2 linked regions of the Coturnix japonica genome follow. The protein of the gene in region 1 interacts with the protein of each later gene in a biochemical or structural test. Links are inferred from orthologs where the notes say so. Each region holds a gene or a part of one and is shown in the gene's direction. Other genes may lie near its edges.

Region 1 (3,595 bases):
TGACAGGTAACACTGTTTTGTCTTCTGTGGGTAGCATGTCAAAAGGCTTGGAAGTTGGTACAGTGTCTTTTAAGTGGCAGATGCCCTTACCACCACAGTAGGTTTCCTCCTATGGGCTCCTCCAGCCTCTTACAGGATGCTGTGAGATCTGTCAAATTGACTGTTTTAATTTAAATTCCATAATACTAAAACATACAAACTTAAGCATGTTTCATTTAAAACTAATTTTTTTTCCTGGCTAAAGTCCCTTCTTAGTGTCTGAATCTTTTGTTCTTTATTTCTTGAGAATTTTTGCTAGGGACCTAAGCCTTGCTGTCAACAAGGTGAATGCCAAGACACGCGCGGTCTTTGGCAGCCAACGCTACTTTTACATGTTAAGCTGCAGCACAGTTTGTGGAATTTGTACACGTGCTCAGTGTTGAAGGAGTTGCTATGGTGCATAATCTCCTCTCAAGCAAATTTCAAAAGCAGCAGTATTTATTTGCTCCAGGTCAGAACAAATTTCCTTTAAGATACGGATGTGGTATACCTGGAATGCACTGGTTTAAACCCCAAATACCCGATTGGTTTTTCTCACAGACTTAGAGGTCTGAGTGCTGCAAATCTTTCCACTACTCATTTTACAGTACTTGCATAACGACTGTGCCATAAAGAGAAACCTGTTGAGAAGCTTTTCCTTTCCCTTTTAGGGACCAGGCGCTATGAGCTGTATAGAAGGTAACAAAGACAAGATGAATATGAGGCTGACCTGTACTCTGTGCTGGATAAAGACCCTCTAGATGCCAGTGTATCTTTATTGAGCAGAGGTAGCTGTCAGATTAAGGCAGCTGTCTGATCTAGACACAGATTGGAGGGAGTCACTTGCCATCTGAAAGTGGCAATGAGATATGTAGTTAGGTGGTGATATAAGTAGTGCAGGTGAGCGTGTGTTGTTATTTGCATAGTAACAATCTGTAATTTTCTTCCACCAAGAAACCAAGATTACCATATCATCTTTCAAACAAATAAAAGACTTTGCGTGATCAGTGTAACCTGCTTGTAGTTTTGCATCATCGTATTGCCCTGTAAGTAGTAATTGTTCAGTTTATTGTGCATTTATTCAAGATACTGGTGCAGGAGATCACAAGCAGTGGCCTGATGCCAGCAATGCTGCAGCACAGCCTCGAGCTCCAGAGCCTCCTCGCCAGAGCTGTGTCTCCGATGCACTTCCAGACAGCCCGCACCTTGATGAGCCAAACCAGCCCAGTGGAGCAACAGCCAAGAAGTGCTTTTTACAAATCACTGGCATGACCTGTGCATCGTGTGTGTCTACCATTGAAAGAAATCTGCAGAAAGAAGACGGTAATAAATTCAACATTCCAATAATGAGTTCTGAGGGACTGCTGGTTGGAAAAGGTGTTCTGTATTTGTCAGTGGAAGGGGCCATGGTAGAATATCTTGAGGTTAAATAGACTTAAACTTCTTTTTAGGGCTAATATAACTACATCACTGTTTGTGTAGTGAGTCTACACGATGGACGTAATTGTTTTGTAATAGTAAGTGCTTGGAATATGATCAACATTTCAAATTAGAATGAGAGGTAATGGCCTTAAATTGCACCAGGAGAGATTCAGGTTAGATATCAGGAAAAATGTTGTCAGAAAGAGCAGTGAGGCCCTGGCAGAGGCTGCCCAGGGAGGTGGTAGAGTCACCATCCCTGGACATATTCAAGAACTGTATGAATGTGGCACTGAGGGACATGGTTAGTGGGTATGGTGGGGATGGTTTGATGGTTGAACTAGATTATCTTAATGGTCTACTCCAACCTTAATTATTCCCTGTCTCAAATATATAATAATAAGGCTCAGGACAAGAACAGAAAAGTTGTTCTTATTTTGTTCTCAGGGCCTTGTGTCTTTACAGAGCAATCCATCACTTTCAAAGCTGTTGAGAGCTCTGATAATTGTGGTATGAAGCTTATTCTCCAGCATATGTTTGCACAAGCATGTATAAATAAATGTGTGGCTCCAATCCCTGGGTAATTATATTAGTTTAGGCACAGCAAGTCCTGCCAGGTTAGAAGTCTGCAGACTGGCCATATAGAGCATGAGCAGTCAAGCATCAACACTGCTTTAAAGCACATCAGCTCATCTTAAGTGGGTTTTGCTTATTGATTCCTGTGTCTGCGGTCTCCCAATGCATGGTCTCCATGTGCTGATACAAGTCAATTGATTCGATTGTCAATTTATATTAAAAAAAAATAATAATAAAAAAGAAAGCCCAGTGTCCTGTGGGATTTAGTTAGAGCTTGGCAAACTTAAGAAAGCCAGGGTAGAGCTTGGAGTTAGAAGTGCAGAAATTGCTCATGAACTTCCTTTCTGTCTCTGACCATAGCCTCCATGTTGCAGCTTCTCTTGTTGCTATAGGTGTATAGGTGTATAGGTATAGGAACTTTGGTATGGCTGCATCTCAGTAAAAACTTTGCTGCTCTGACCAGGGAACAACACTAGGAGGAGGCAGAAAAGAGATCACTAGACATAAAATGGCACTAAACTGCTACAGTTTCCACTGAAAATCACATGTGATATTTTATTTTTCTTCCTCACAAACTAAACTGCATTATCTAACATTCTTTATTATTGCTGCTGCAGGTATTGTTTCAGTGTTGGTAGCACTGATGGCAGGTAAAGCAGAGATAAAATACAAGCCAGAGTTCATACAGCCTCTTGAAATAGCACAGTTGATTCAGAATTTGGGTTTTGAAGCCACTGTCATAGAAGATCATTCAGAAACAGAAGGAAATGTGGAGCTTCTTGTAAGTAACGTGTATTTCAAATTGCGTGTTGGTTTTGGATATGGTGGGCTCAGAAGAAGCATTTTCTTGCAAGAGCTTTTGTTTAAGGAGACATGGCCTCAACAGATCAGTTCTGTCTGGTGACACTCATTTTGCTTAATTGCTAGAAAGAGAAAATCATTTTCTCTTAGAAGAACCTGACAAAAGCACTGAAACAAAAAGCAATAGTTATGTGTATGGAATAGACTTCTGTTAGCACGGGGAAATGAAATGGGAAATGATACATCATTGAGCATCTGATGAGAAGGTTATGGGCTTTGTATAGAGGTCTGAGAACACTGGGTGAAATTATTAAATAGTTCATAGCAGGACAGATTCTTTGAAAGTCTGTTTTTCTTCTCTTATGTTTATATACAGTAAGACAGAACACAACAGCCTGCACTTATGCAAACAGATCAGAAAGTGGGAATGTGCCATGCTGAAGCCACCAGGAGATTTGAGTTAGGATGATGATGTTGAACATGCTCACATGTGTATTGACTTTGGCAGTGTTAATAGAGCTGCTGATAGAACTATACAAACTACTCTTGCAGTAAATGCAACGTGCTAGTGCTGCTGTACAAATAAGCTGCAGTGAATAGAACTGTTTGTTGCAGAATTTTACAAGCAGATAGTTATATTTGTTTCCTGTAAGACAACTCTATAAACTTCCTGCTCAGGCCTTGGGTCAGTGCCTGCAGAGTTTGAACAGTCTCTGGTATGTTTGTAACAATACCTCAAATTCTTTAACAAATATTGGGTGAACATTTGGTTCATTAAAAG
Region 2 (4,346 bases), on another chromosome or scaffold:
CCCCAACCCCATCCCCCCCCTCCAGGCCTCGGCCTACCCCGGGGATAGGGGGCAGCGCTGAGGGGGATGGAAATGGGATCGCCCCGGTGCACGCAGCCCTCCGCCATCCCCACGAGGCCGCGGCCCCGCTCCCAGCCCGGCCCTGCCCCCCTCACCTGCGGGCGGAGCGGGACGGCAGCGGGAGGCGTCGCAGGAGCACAGGCCTGCCCGGCGGACGACAAGCACCTCACGCAACGGCGTGCTCTGCCGCCGGCTACATATATCCGGCGCGCAGCCTAACCCGGCGGGAGGCTGCTCCACCAATCACACAGCGCCGCTCTCCTTCATTCGGACGCTGATTGGTTCGGAGAGGGGAAAGGAGGCGGGATGATAAATGAATGGCAGCTCACTCTATCAACCACGCGGCCTGGCTGCGCGGAGCGGGGAGATTGACAGACAGCGATCCGAACCAATAGGAGGCGAAGCTCTCGGTGCTGAGGCGGGGCTAGACCTAACGGTAGCCAATAGGACGACGCTGACCGCGAGACCAGGCGCGAAAGGCGGGGCAGGCGTGACGCCGTAGTGTGGTTGAAGCGCACAGCAGCGCCCTTGAGAAGGTGCTGGTAAACCCCGTTAGAGATGGGGGCGGGACCTATCCAATCCTATCCAATGGGAGGGCGCGACGGGCTATGATGGACAGGCAGGGCCTTAAAGGGACAGTCACCCCGCACGAGGGGCGGCATTGAGTGCCCCGTACCACCCCCTGCTGGGGGGCAGCGCTGGGACGGGCATTGGTTATCACTAAGAGCAGGCTGCGAGATCTCCAATGGGCCTCACTAGGTCGCCTCTGACCCCCTGAGCCTCATCTGAACAACACATAGTGCAGGTGTGGATGCTGAGGACAGCAGGATGGAGGAGCAGCAGGTAGCTGGCTGAGCAGGCTGTGTTTGTATCCCATCATATCTATGACATGAAGCACTATCAGATATATTGGACTGTCTCAGACTGAGTCCCTCCCCACCACCACATCCCAGCCCTGCCCACCCCCCTCCCTGTGTGCCCGGCTATTTATAGGGCTGCAGCACAATCTGCCAGCGCATCAATCACAGCTGTGGGGCTCAACGTCAGAGCAGTGACCCACAGCTCAAATAACCACTGCTGGGACCACGGCGGCATTGGGAGGAAAGGGAGCTCACGTTGTGATAGAGCAGCACAGCAGCCAGGTCCTGTGTGCAGCACAATGAATGTCTATGGGCTCTCAGTTGGCATCCCCCTGGGTGAGCAGAGCAAAGGCCTTCAGCCCTAATCCTGCTTTGCTGTGACCCATAGAGCTGCCATTCAGCCTCACCGATCAGGAAAACGGGAAGAGCAACATAACCAAGGGGCTGTTCTCAGAACAAAAACATCCTAAAACATACATCGTCCCTAAAAGGCCATTCAAACAGCTTTGCTCAGCCTTAAGACCACACCAAAAAGCCCCCAAACACCCGCAGCAAATGACTTGTCTCACTAAGAGCCGAACATTGAAGCTTCACGGGCAGCTCGTACCCTACCGAGCCTCCTCGGGCCCCGGGGGCGCTGTGCGGAGCTGAGCTCAGCGCCGCCCCTTCCTCCGAGCCGGGAACCGGGAGCCGGAGCCACGCCATGCCGGTGGGTGCGGGACGGGAGGGCGGCGGGGGGGACAGCGAAGGGCCGGGGGATGGAACCACCTTGAGCTTGTCAGAACATGAAGGAAATGCCAGTTCCGCATAGGAATGGTGATAAATGGTGATGCTGAGCGCTTTGGTTTTGCTCAGTTCCGCACTGATCCGCGCTGTGATGATAGTGGGGGGTTAAAGGTGGTTTGGAGTAAAAAGATGGAGGGGTTGAGGGTGGGAGACAGGGAGCAGCATTGATTTTCTTGTTTAAGGATATCAGGTGAAGGAGATAGGGCCTGTCCCGTACAGAAGGCTGAGCACAGTGGATAGCCTTAGGGCCACGCATGTGTGCACTGTGAGTACTGCGGGTAGTGGTCCTCAAGCTTATTTTCATGATGTTTTTATGAGTTTGGGGCATGATGATATGATATATGATAGGATAGGCATTGCAGAGCAAAGCAGCAGGCTTGCTCCTCCTGGGCTGTGCATACAATGGGTCCAGGAGAATCACAGAATCACAGAATGACCCGGGTTGGAAGGGACCTCAAGGATCATGTAGTTCCAACCCCCCTGCCTAGCAGGGCCAGGAGAACCCCCTGAGAGCTGTGCTGGCCCTGGAGGTGTCCTGATTCCAGTGCATGGTTGGAGCAGGCAGCCTCCAGAGGACCCTCCAGGTGGTGGTGAATGCTGCTGAACCCTCATCTGTCTTCTTGCAGAAACACGAGTTCTTTGTGGACATGACCTGCGAAGGCTGCTCCAATGCAGTCACCCGTGTCCTGCATAGACTGGGAGGTGAGTCGAGCTACAGGGTGTATTATGACTCTGGGGCCAGATGTCACTGCCCCAGGGTCCTCTGTTTTGAGCAGGAAGCAATGTGGGTAACAGCAGGAAGTGTCTGAGTGGAAACCTCTGCACCTTATCACTCTGCTTTGAGCTGCTGGTAGCTGATTGCTAGCAGGGCTGGCGTAACCCTTGGAGAAGAAACACGGGAAGGATAAAGTGCTGGGGATGCAGGAGGCTTCAGGCATCAGGTGGCTTTGTGCACCACCAGGGCCTCATCCTGAACCTGCCAGGAGCTGCACCCCCCTGCTCAGGATGGCTGGGAAGAAGAAGAGAAGGTGGATCTCCTGCCAGGCCACTGGTAGCTGCAGTGCTTCTCTGGATGTGTCATCAGCATCCAAATGCAGAACAGTCATGGTGAAGAGCTGCTGAGCAGAGGGTTTGGTGGTTGCTTGCACAGCCTGTTTTTTGTTCAACCTGGAAAATTATAACTTGTGTCTCCTCTGTGCTGAGAGCAGCAAGAGAGCAGGATCTGGCCTGCACTCACCAGTTATGAGGACTTTTGATCCTGCTTACCCATCCTCACCAAGTGGGAACAGCTCTCAGTCACCAAGCTGAAGGCTGTGAGAATTCTTCAGGACCCCATTGCCAGGCTGTGGTGATTCCAGTTCCTCTGTGTGTTGTTTTCAGCACCTCTGTCCTCCCATCACTCTTTGACGTGCTGGCCAAATACAGACTCATGGGATGGAGCAGTAGAGCTGCTAAAGCTATTACCTACCTTCATTATATGGTTGGGTAGAAGCTTCGTTGAGTTCTTCTCTCTGGCTTTAGAGTGGCTGACCTTTATTTACCAGTGGCATATCCACATGGAAGGTGTCTTGAGCTTCCTCCTGCTTACAGCTGCAAGGTGGTACTGCCACTGATAAAACCTGCTCTGACCCCATCTTAACCTCTATGCCATCTCCTTCATTAGTACTCATTCGTGCCAAACCTCAGCACAGAGTGAGCTGGCTGCAGATTACAGTGGTTGGTTTAAACTCTGCTAATTCTCATTAATGCTTGTGATTGTGCTAGTCTAATAAAGCTCCCATAATAAACCTATGGTGCCTAATGTACATATATAGGCAATCTGGATTCCTTTATACCAATGCTGGTGGGATCCTGCTCTGGTTGTGCTGGTCACAGAACAGAAGTTTGCTGACAAGAGGCATGTACAATTCACTTGGTGACACTGTGAGAGCACAAATGCATGAAAGTGACATTTTCCCTGCTTTTATACCATTTGATTGCTTCTAACTAAGTGTTTTTCCTTTCCTTCCAGGTGTCCAGTTTGATATTGACCTGCCCAACAAGAAGGTGTACATTGAGTCAGAGCACAATGTTGACACCCTATTGGAAACCCTAAAGAAGACTGGAAAGAGCGCATCCTACCTGGGGGAGAAGACAGTGCAGTAGCCTGCTGTGAGGAGGCTAGGTATATATTAGGTGTATGAAACACTGAAGAGATCTGAGCTTGTTCCAGCTCTCTCAGTAAACCAGTCTGTTTCATGTAAAGCACAAAGGAGGGGAGACTTGTAGGTCCAGCTTCAGCAATCCCCTCATATCAGAGAAGCACATGCAGCCAGCACCTTCTGCATGGGACTCCTTAGCTGCTCTGCAAAGCCCATAGGAACCCAACTATAGCTGTAGTATCTGCAGCCAAAAGAGAACTATGGCATCTGATAATTTGAGAAGTTTTGGCTGATACTTGTATGGTCTAATTGCATGGAGAGGTAGAACGCAGCCTCTGTGCAATTACCAGGTGAACCTGGAGTTTGCCAGAGCATATCATGAATGAAAACAAACCCCAAAGACATTAGTGAAATGACCAGGGAGAGTGACCAAAAATGCTAGGGACAGTGATGAAACGGATGGACACCTGTGAGTAGGTGCTGCAGGGGGTTGTTTGTT

Evidence for each region. The genes of interacting proteins can lie anywhere in the genome.
Region 2: the proteins of ATP7B (region 1) and ATOX1 form a complex in vitro, tested with the Homo sapiens proteins (3 studies listed by BioGRID and IntAct). The link is inferred for Coturnix japonica from reciprocal best matches to the Homo sapiens genes ATP7B and ATOX1.

The regions. Positions count from the first base shown.
Region 1 is NC_029516.1:152,322,819-152,326,413, reverse strand, and holds part of ATP7B (copper-transporting ATPase 2), read left to right. Parts: coding exon 1-6; intron 7-1,104; coding exon 1,105-1,341; intron 1,342-2,630; coding exon 2,631-2,794; intron 2,795-3,595. UniProt on the Homo sapiens protein: Copper ion transmembrane transporter involved in the export of copper out of the cells. It is involved in copper homeostasis in the liver, where it ensures the efflux of copper from hepatocytes into the bile in response to copper overload.
Region 2 is NC_029528.1:5,158,794-5,163,139, reverse strand, and holds the start of ATOX1 (copper transport protein ATOX1), read left to right. Parts: upstream 1-1,497; 5' UTR 1,498-1,623; coding exon 1,624-1,629; intron 1,630-2,332; coding exon 2,333-2,408; intron 2,409-3,717; coding exon 3,718-3,851; 3' UTR 3,852-3,870; intron 3,871-4,346. UniProt on the Homo sapiens protein: Binds and deliver cytosolic copper to the copper ATPase proteins. May be important in cellular antioxidant defense.